Mytilus edulis: one gene and its partner. The protein of the gene in region 1 interacts with the protein of each later gene in a pairwise test. Links are inferred from orthologs where the notes say so. Each region holds a gene or a part of one and is shown on either strand. Other genes may lie near its edges.

Region 1 (5,844 bases):
ATATCAAAAAATTCCTTTTTCTGGGACACCCATTGAAACAGCACTTTACTGAATACTTAGCCATATACATGTTTTATCTGGTAACAACTCTAAATGTAGACGAATAATTGCAGGAAGACATTTTTTCTTAATTTATTTACAATGATACAAGGAACCTTCTGCTGCCATAAACTTTAAAAAAAAAATCAAAATTCTACAAGTAACTTTTTTTTTCAAAATTTTCTTTAAGTTAAAAGATGGTTACTATTTTTACATCATACATTGTACATCACATAAATATAATTGTGTTTAAAATTTAACTTACTAAAATGCTTCACTTACATTTGACTTACATGACTTACTCCTCAAGTTACTGGAACATTTAAATGTCATAATTACTATTAGTTTAAAGGTCAATGAATGACATAAATTGGGGTCAATTTAAAACAGCACTGTCTTGTTAGCTGCACATCTATTCCTGATAAATGATATTGAATTCACAAAAAAAGCTTATAGCAGTCTGCATCATTTATGCATGATGAGTTTAATTCTTACTTGAAAACATCATCTAGTCCAATAAAACTTTTAATTTGTTGAAAACAAATTGAAGAAGCAAAAGTATGATAAACATGATAATGCAAATACATTAATGATTATATTATAATAATTATAATCGGGATTAAATTATAATAAATTCCCAAAATAATATTGTAAGGTTATTAGCAGTCTGAATATAATGAGTTTAATTCTAGCTTGAAAACTTGAAAAAATCTAGTCCAATAAATCTTAATTAAACAGTTCAATATATAAACATGAAAAACAAAAAACTAACCAAGCCTGAATTTTTTTTATTAAAAAAACAAGTCAAATCATGACAATGTGCACGATTTTGACAGTTTCAAATATATATCTAAATGATAGTCTTACTTTCCTACAAAATTTTCCAGTACACTACTCTTTCCTGCACTTTGACATCCTACGACAGCAAACTGCGGTAAATCAAATGATAATGGTGTTCCTAAAGTAGTAAAAGCATCCTGCAACTTATTCACAATGGGAATAAGCTGTTCCATGCCTATATTTCCTGCCATTTTTTGTTACTGTGTCTTCTTTTTTTTTCTGAACAATTTACTTCATGATAGATATAGGACTTCTTTCACATGTCAGACCAGTATTCAAAATTATATTTGAAAAACTCTTTTGACTTAAATACTCAAAGGAAGTGTGCATCATTTTTAGAAGTCATTTCTATAAATATTACAAACAAATGTATTTTCATTGTTTTAAATGAAAACTATTGTATGTCTTACATGTCTTATATATAAATATGAGTTCATATATGAGGTTGTTCTATTTTTAGCTTTTAAAAAACCCTGGACACATTAACCTACAGAAATTACATTATGTTCCGCATGAGTATTTTTTTTAGTGTAAATATACATGATATATATACCAATTCCATTTATATTTCCAAAATTTGCTTAAATGCCTTAGAGAATGACCAACTGTCAGATGTATACGGAAATGAGACAACAACCCAACAAAACAGAAAGAATTGTGATTACATTAATTATTCAATTAACAATGATAAATGCATATATGTATTCTGTCTGTATGAGAAAAAATATCAGAAAAAGATACTGGTCTAACTTTAAGTCTTCTTTTCAAATCTGTAATGTTTTCCTTTAATAACTCTACCTTTCCGAATATTTTTCTTTCTATAAGATCATTCATCTGACAAAGTCTTAACTCTCTTGACCACAGACCTGACAGACCAGACACATGTTTGATGACACTGCGTTATACAAATATCTAAAGTGTAGCTATCATCAAATTATCTCAAACCAAACTATTTCAAAGCTTTTTGATTAATTAACCAGAATTGTTACATTGGAACTTCTTTTATTATTTAATATCCTGGAGAAATGAAGACTTTTAGAGCAAATGCAATATGAACTGCATTATAAATTAATATTTCTAAGGTTTAAAAAATTACGGATCATCACCTTTTAGCAAAATTGTCAACATGGTCAAAGACATTGCAAATATAGACCTGTCCTATGGTTTAAGTTTCATAAAATTCTGGCAAGATTTTAAAACCAAAAAGTAATGATTCAATTATCCATTTATGAACTTTTCAAAGAGACATAACTCTTTTAAAAAGAATTAATTGACTCTGATTTAGTTATAGACCTCACCAAGTCATTGCTGATTTAAACCTATATTATGATATGTTTCATAAAAATCTAGCAAGAATTGAACACATGAGAGCACTAACAATTTAATTTTCCATATAATTATTTTTTTCCAAGAAGCATTACTCATTTGTACAAGACTTTACTAATATAAACCTATGATATAAGTATTATAAAACTCTGGCAAGAATTGTACATGTGAGAGTGCTAACAACATAAACAATACCAGACAAAGGCACAGACAGTTGAACAGATGGAAGCCTGGTGTTTCTATGTCCCCTGCAGCATGTTGCACAGGGCAGTGGCGGATCCAGAAATTTTCATAAGTGGTGGCCCACTGACTGCCTAAGAGGGGGCCCGCTCCAGTCATGCTTCAGTGATTCCCTACATAATCAAACATTTTTTTCCCAGAAAAGGGGGGGGGCCTGGGGCCACTGACAAAACCCTTTTAAATCCGCCTCTGTGGGGGACAACAAAATGAAATGCACATATAATAGATGAAATTAAATATTAATATGTTTAAATGTATTCTTCATGAATGCTCTTACTTCCTGATCTTTAATTAACTTCATGGTACATGTAAGTAGAAATGTTTCTACACTTTTAAAAAATAATTCAAACTATCTGAAATTTAAGATACATGTATGCTTCAGAGGATGTGGGGTACCGGTACTGTATGGGTGACTGGTCTCGATATTTTGAAATGTACTTATAGATTACAGATACATCTCAAAGAGATTAATTTCCTCGCTTGAGCCGGTACAGCGAAAATGAGAACAGCAATCAAATTGAGATGACCAATAAGTTTATAACAATCTGTTTATTGCTATTTTACCTATGAAGACGTTGTCTATTTCATGTCAGTTTCATTAGCAACGCCATATGCATGTGACCCCTTAGTTACTAGCGATAATTTTCATATCACTCGACTCTGCTGAGAAAGGAAATAATCATTCAGCAAGATCAAAGGAAAATTTCGTAAAATAGCAATAATATGAAATATACAAATATGTACCTAAGGTACAGAGTTGTCATACTCTAGACCGTTTCAGCTTATTTTATATTTGGAAAGTACTAGTGGTCCAACCTATCATTCGGTTTCACTTTGTAGTGTGTGTTTATATCACTAGAAGCTAAAAATTTTTACAAAATATTCTTGAAATTCATTTGAAATTTTGTGTATTCATTTTAGATTATTTTACATGAAAAGAGTGAAAAGTAAACAAATTATAACCCGATTTACGCCCCCTTGTCTGAGCCTTTCTGTATGTTTATTTATTAAGTGCTTGTGTAATTCTTTTGGTAGGAAAATAAACAGATGATATGAGTTATATTCATAATGTGTATTGCTGACAAAAGACTGTCATTACCACTGACAGCAACCTCTGATCAATTGATGATTATCTTACTTTCCTACGAAATTTTCCAGTACACTACTTTTTCCTGCACTTTGACTTCCTACAACGGCGATTTGAGGTAAATCTAAAGATAGGGGTGTTCCTAGAGATGAAAAGGCATCCTGCAGCTTATTCACAATGGGAATAAGCTGCTCCATGCCAACATTTCCTGACATTTTCGTTACTTCCGTCTGTCTATCCTTCTGAATAGTTTACTTCATGGCGGACAAATGATTATGCGAAGGCCGCTTATATCATTTCATAATAATAACAGATAAGCTCCACTGATATCATAAATCAAAAGGATGCCTGGAGCGTTTTGAATAATTTTACTTCATTACGTTGAAAATGTGTAACGTAATGTATTTTTTTCGATTGAAATACATTTTATTTTCTTATTTGAAAAAGTCAAGGGAGGCTACTCTATTTCAAAACTATTTCCTAAAAACGATGACACATTTACACACGGATATTACCTGAATTATTACTCATTTATTATTTTTAATGACACGATATATGAGAAATCTAAAATCTTTTATTTTGAATAGTATCCACTTAATACCATATTTGGTTATAGCAATACAGACACAAAACAAAAAGAAACTAAACAGGAAAAAAATGGAGATTCCGTGACCTAAAATTTTATATTTTTTACCTTTTCTTAAGCTGACTAAGCTTGGTATATTGAACATCTTTCAGTTTCTATTAGAATACAATAATCGTTTATTCTTATTTGTATCACATTTTTCTTGCTTCTTAGTTTAGTGAGATGAGAAGATTCCATATGTTTATTTATATTAGATTTAAGAAATATAATCATTTATAATTTCTATTTAGGATCTCAGAGTTCAGGTTACTAGAATAGATATAGGAAGATGTGGTATGAGTGCCAATGAAACAACCAGTCTCTCCATCTAAATAACAATTTATAAAAGTAAAGCATTACAGGTCAATGTACGGCCTTCAACACGGAGCCTTGTACAGCAAGTAATTTTTTTCACTTTAAAAGAGTTTCACTGTTTGAATATATATCCCCCTTTTACTGAGAGCTGTAAATTACGATTGTAAAAATTTTGATATGAATGTATTGATGATAGAATTTTTTTAAACTTACTTATCTTGCCTATGAAATGTTAACGACCTTAATTTCAATATTACCCTCTACACTTGACATTTAAGAAATTTTGTCAGCCGGATTTTTTTTAATTCTGATTTTCCTATCTTTTACGCAATATTTTGTTTTAGATACAATAACTTTATCATCTGCATATAATGGGTGCATTTTACTTTGCACTTCTCTGTCAGAAAAGCTTCCAGTTCATCAAGAAAAAAAAATACCAAAAAGGAGATAAATCACGTATTCACTGACTTGTGTCAGTAACATGTTATAATAGTGCACATGGAACTCAACAGGATCCAGAATTGCAAATTGGAAAACCAATATCTGCTACTAAATATTTGTTGAACATATTTTGGGTGCAGGTATAAATTAAATATTGTTAGTCTTTGACGAGTCGTTAAAATTTGTTCTTTCAATCGATTATTGTTCTTGCTCCATGCAACGCCATATATATCAATTGTCATGAAACTTTGCTCAAATGGTCAGGTTGACCTCATATGAAAGTCGTGCAAGTTTGAAGTAGTTATCAAAGGTACCAGGATTATAATTTAATACGCCAGACGCGCGTTTCGTCTACATACGACTCATCAGTAACGCTCAGATTAACATAGTTGTAAAGCCAAAGGTAGCACTCCACAGTTAGAAAATAAAATTAAAAATGAGCCCCAAAATGTTTTATCATCTCCTATTCCTGGATTTCTAATACATTAACCTAACTGTTTGTGTTGTACATGTGCATATGTGTGTAATCAGTATCTTCCATAGATTCAATTTTCCAAAGTTAAAAGGGTGAAAATTAATTCCTTTTATGTGTATCCATGGCAACATTCAGCATTTATTTACCATAAAATATTGCAAAAAGGGGGGTGAACATGTCATATATCCCCCCAAAATTTGGATCAAACTAGAATTTCAATGCCTTTGAGTGATACCTTTTTAGAAACTGTTTTCTTAAATCTTCCTAATGATCAAATAAAAAATGGGTGTCTTTCGCCTCATTTTTTCGTAAAATCCAATCACAAAGTTCGTGCGATAAAAAGTTGGAAAAAAACATTATAATAATTGCCGGACCAATGTATGGGTTGGACATGCAAATACGGACTGTCATACAGAAAACAGCCTATATTACATACATTACATAACCTTGATGTTC
Region 2 (5,844 bases), on another chromosome or scaffold:
TATCTACTCATTTGACCATTGTATATTTTGACAGATATATAATGTATATAGGGTCAGGCAAAAATACATAGTATAAAATATTTACCAGTTACTTGTAACTGTGAGAATTGAGCATTTCCTTGTGCTGCAGAGGCTGCTTCTCCCATTATTTGGAAGTCTCACATGTACACCTGTAATACAATTCATAATTTTAAAAATATGATCAAGAGACTTTCATTTGTAGATGCAGAAGGTCAGCATATGATATTCATGGGCAACCAAGTTATACATGTTATAGAGAAAAGTATTACCAATTTTCAATCATGAATGTCAAGAAACAGGGTAAAGTTGTTAGTTTTTTATTGCACTGTACAAGTAAATTTTTGTAAACATGAACACAGCTGATTTTCGATTTCAGCCTTTTTCGGGTCACTTAAGATTTGTCAGTTTTACTATGCTGTCTGTATATAGATACATGCAGGCCCTATTCATTTGATTTTTATGCATTATACTTAAATAAATGTAGTTTGTGTGTTTTAATAATATAAATGGTTTCCTATGAAAATATTTTTTGGAACATACATGCAATTTGTTCTGGTTAATTGTAAACTCCAATACATCTGGCCAAAGATTGGAGTCTTATAACATGTATGACAATGCAACAGACAACTTTCAAGTTCGATGCATTTCTGTCAAAAACATCATGTGTGCTTTAAGGGGCCTTGTCACTTCAGTTCCCATGTTGAGCAATTGGTTGGAAAACTATGATTCTATCATGTCTATCTTGCACGAATTATTCGGCAAATTGGATTTGATAATTTACAATCAGCACTGCTGTCATTAGGGAATTGTGATTAAATACCTACCCAACAAACAATATTTCTAGTTTATCCTGCACAATGATGATCACTAATAGTGCAGGGATACAGGCAATCCCCTCTATCTGGTAAATCATGTCATAAAGACATGCATAATTGATGAGTTTTTTTCCAGTGACAGACAAACTTGAAAGTGGTCTATTTATATCATAGATAAAGAAAGATGTGGTGTGAGTGCCAATGAGACAACTCTCCATCCAAATAACAATTTATAAAAGTAAACCATTATAGGTCAATATGTAATCAACTTTTCCTCATCAATAAATATTGTTTCTTTTCCAAGATCATGAAAATATTGTCCTTAAAACATTGTAAACATGGTAAAACCATAATTCAAAATATTCTTGAATGTAATATGAGGCAGGCAATACCTCTGAATGGAGACGAAGTTTATGATTTTTCTTTTGAATCAACAATGTTAAAAAGAGAAACGGAAATACCATAACGTTTCCGATTTTGGTTCTGTTGTTAGTTGTGACGTCATATTCAATGTAAACAAAGAAACGCTGTCATCAGGTAACGTTATTTTAATAACAATAATTTTTTTTTTAAATGAATTAGTATTAGTTCCTTTCTTAGACATGTTAGACTGATAAATTATAAATATACATTTTATTCAAAGTCTCTTGTAAACAAGACCGGAAACAGAAGTAGATTTCTGCGCAGATCTGGAATTTCAAAATGTGACAAAAATAAAATTGAACGATTTTGAGTTCATTCGTACAATAAAAAATTTGGGAAATTTTCCCGATTTTTTTTTATTTTTTTTTATTGAATTTTCTACTAGAACTGTAATAGGGGACTTCATCCCCATATTATTTACTAATTATCAAAATATGATTAATAGATGTAGCTATTGAGAGTATAAAATATCAATGGGACAACAATGCTGACTACATGTACAAGTAAAAGACAATGAAAGAAAGGTATTTAAGGTCCATATATATTATATGCATGTACATGTATGATATTTGTTGTCTCCACCATTAACATCTGTCTAGTTCTTTCCACATTCAACATGTTCAAAGCACATTCTAATTTTCATGGTGAGGTTTTCCCTGATGTTTAATTTGTGTAAATCTAAATACAATCCCTTATACTTATCCATACTTTTAAATAAACTTATTGTAAAAGGAAACTCATTCAACACCAAATCTATTTGATGTTGGATGTACACTGGTTGATATTTTCCCTGTATTTAGTCTAAGATATATTATATTTTCATTAGTAGATACATGTATGTACAATGTATTTGGACTTTGAACTAGCTTTCAGTAACATGAGTACTCTCAAATGAGGGGTTGTCACTCATTTGATTTGTTCCCCATTTGGCGGGTTGTCTCCAACCTTTTATTTAAGGCTACAGGAACATTGAAAAATGTGCTCGCCCAAATGTGCTTGCATATTTCCACACAAAAAATAATGAGTCTTGCAAGTTGAATGAAAAATAACCAATATCTGATTTGATTGTTCTTTGATTTTACATCACTGAACCTAATGACATTTGCACAACTTACTCTTAAGATGTGCCATATAAATTATTTTGTTGTGATGCATAATATAATAATTTACAGGAAAACATTATTTTTCCTTCAAAAGACATGTTACTGATCATGCTGATAGATAACGATGTAAGCAATCTTTAGATTTTAAATTTTAAACTGTACAACTATACCTTTGTAATCATGATTTTTCAAAATTAGAATGTCTTTTAATCTATCTTACCTATATGTAATTATAATTCTTGTGAAATATGCGACTATGTCACATGATGTAATAAAAAGAGCTTTCAAAACCATGAAAACAGTCTATACTGAATAGTTTTAACTCAATTTATTCAATAGTCATGATAATAAAGGATCATATGGTGCATGTCCAATGATTAACAGATAATACTTTTAGGACAACATTTTACATAAAATATTTAAGTCGTGTGTAAAGCAGGATGTTGTTAAGTTTGCTGTGACAACTTTGACGATTTGCTATGTTTTCTTTTTTTCAACTGAAATATTTGATATATTTTTAAAACACAACTTTTTGATATGTGTGAGAATTTGTATTGGGGCATCCCTGCAATGCGCATTTTGACAATATTGACCTGTATTTGGTTACGAACGAGCACTGTCAAAACAGTTTGATGTCCACCATTTCTTATTGGTCATGTGATCAATGACGTCGAAAGTTGTTATATTCATATATGTTTTTACAATCTTTACAAAATATTCTATACTTTTTCCTAATTTCTGTGCTTTAAAATAAATGATTTTTGCAATAAATACCATTTTCTAATTTTTTTCAATTAAGATATTTTGTAAAAAAAATAAAATCATATAAACGCTTTAAAGTAAGACAAATAATCTCTATCAGAATAGTTGCCTTTTGACATTGAATCTCATGTGGACAGCAAATGAGAAATGTCACAAAAAAGTGTAAAGCATGTGATAGCCGATGCTGGGGCTTTCATACGAAATGCCCCATTACAGGTACAAACAATACACAATTACCATTTATTGATATCTACCAGGATGTTTGTTTTTTTCAACTTCACACATGTATGTTAAAGTACTAGTGAAGTGCCTTTTCTTATACCCCCTGACTAAAAGTTGTACTATAGTATATATAGCCTTACCTATGACGGTTAAAGTCTTCTCAAGCCTTATAGTACTGTTTAATATACTGGACAATATTAGTATTTGGATCACAAGTGTATGGTTGTCATGCCATATGGGCATACTCCTAGTCATACATATCATATCAGGTAATATGAGGCATTACCTGTAAATGAGGACGAAGTCTGTATGATTTTTTTTTAATTCAAACATGTTTTTAAAAGAAACGGAAATACCGTAACGTTTCCAATTTTGGTTCTGTTGTTAAAAAAACAGGGATGAAAGATACCAAAGGGATAGTCAAACTCATAAATTTATAACAAACTGACAACGCCATGGCTAAAAATAAAAAAGACAAACAGAAAAACAATAGTACACATGACACTAATTGTTAGGGATTTAGTTGTGATGTTATTTAGTTATGACGTCTTATTCAATGTAAACGAAGAAACACTTTCATCAGGTAACTTTTTTTTATATAAATTAATTAACCCTTTCAACGCTATACACAGCATATGCCGCGATGACATTATATGAAATATGATTTGATCGATCATTACGAGACGAAGAAAAAGGGGGGAAAACGGAGGTTGACTGAAAATTTTGAGGACGAAGCCACTGATTTGTGCCACGATTACATAATATGTTGTGTATGGTGCAATACGCTACGGAATCGAGCAATTGGTGTCGTCTTTATTATATGGCAGATAAAACAACAAAATAGATGAAGACTAAAAGTAGTTTTGATTCAAAATTCAACATAAATGTAATAAATTACACCTATTACCTGTTAATTACCTGAAAATGCAGGTAACCTGATAATAATTTTACTGAAATAACTGCCTAATATTACAGTTCATACTCTCCTGAGCATTTTTCATGCTATAACTTTCTCTTTATCTTTTATAATAAAAAAGATACAGCAGTCTGAAAAGGAATATACTGTTCTAATGAATGAACACAAAAAAAAATGCAGCAGCAGCAGCCATTGTCTATTTTTTTGTGTAGCATTGAAAGGGTTAAAAATGAATTGGTATTGAGTTCCAATCCTATAGTCCTGAGTTCTATAGTATATTGAAAAATTCGGGAAATTTTCACGATTCTTTTTTTTTTATTGATTTTTCTACCGTAAATGAGGCAGGCATTACATGTGAAAGGGGACGAAGTCTATGATTTTTTTTTTATTCAAACATATTTTAATTTCAAAACGGAAATACCGTAACGTTTCCGATTTTGGTTCTGATGTTAGGGATTTTAGTTGTGACGTTGTTTAAGTTATGATGTCATATGCAATGTAAACAAAGAAACGCTCTCATTAGGTAATTTTTAAAGGCAGTGCTTTAAGGCCTGACTTTTAAGTCATGAGGTTCATCTTTTCATACGCAATCTATGCTGGGGGTCTTTTGGCCAGAAATAGATCCGGAAATGTTCGAATTTCTCCTCTTCTTTTTATGGTATGATATGGTTTTTGTTTCTTTCATTTACATTGGGGACTAAAGAAACGATCAGTGTGTATTGTTCGTTTTATAGAACTTGTTATTAGTGTGTATTTTGCATTATAAGCAGTCAACCTGACTACAAACTATCATTATTAGTATATTCCGTGTGGAAAGAGGTCGGGTCAATTTCAAGTGTTATCTGACATCTAAAGATTCTTTAATTAGTTCAGACGTTGATATAACAATGAAAAGTCGACTGAACATGATTAATATTGCACCTTCTATAATTCAAAGCGGAATTCGGTTTATGAACGAGAAACCGTAAAGCGTTTTCAATTTCGGTATTAGTTATGTATGTTGTCTACGTATTATCCTGGTTCCCGGTACTACGTTCCGGGTATTAGCTATTTGATATATTTGATGTGTAACATTACAATCGGGTACCAGCCAATCTACGTGTGTATGTGTACATGATTTACCGCCAAAATGACCGACTTAAAAAATAGTCCATAAACGTTCCGTATAATGATATGCAAATTCATAATTAATCGTAACTTTTTTTATCTTTGTATAATTAATATAACAAAATGGATTCCACAAAATTGAAAATAGCATTATTTTACGAGGATTTCTCATATTTTTTTCACTTCCGGGCGCAGTAATACGTATGTTTTAAAGAAGCTCGAAGAATTTGACAAAGTGAATTGAGAAGGAAACGGATAGATATACGTCCTTGCTATCAGGTAAAACAATTTAAATGTTCAGAACAAACACATTTACTTCACACAAATAGTACAGGCTTAAGCTTTTTATTGTCTAGCTTATACACGACTGTAGTCAAGTGTTTAAACGACGGCGGTGACCTACAAGGTACGGGTCATACTGGGTCAAGTCTAAATATGTAAACATATCCACGTGCTATTAGGTAGAACGCATCGT

The links.
Region 2: the proteins of dynamin-1-like (region 1) and NEDD4-like E3 ubiquitin-protein ligase WWP1 interact in binary tests that used the Caenorhabditis elegans proteins (3 or more experiments, as listed by UniProt). The link is inferred for Mytilus edulis from reciprocal best matches to the Caenorhabditis elegans genes dyn-1 and wwp-1.

Annotation. Positions count from the first base shown.
Region 1 is NC_092345.1:45,841,450-45,847,293, forward strand, and holds the start of dynamin-1-like, read right to left. Parts: upstream 3,827-5,844; 5' UTR 3,748-3,826; coding exon 3,584-3,747; intron 1-3,583.
Region 2 is NC_092348.1:11,609,289-11,615,132, reverse strand, and holds the start of NEDD4-like E3 ubiquitin-protein ligase WWP1, read right to left. Parts: upstream 3,043-5,844; 5' UTR 2,956-3,042; intron 171-2,955; 5' UTR 147-170; coding exon 86-146; intron 1-85. Other genes in the region: RNA-binding protein NOB1-like, read left to right, coding at 3,272-3,340. UniProt on the Caenorhabditis elegans protein: E3 ubiquitin-protein ligase which accepts ubiquitin from an E2 ubiquitin-conjugating enzyme in the form of a thioester and then directly transfers the ubiquitin to targeted substrates. Ubiquitinates klf-1.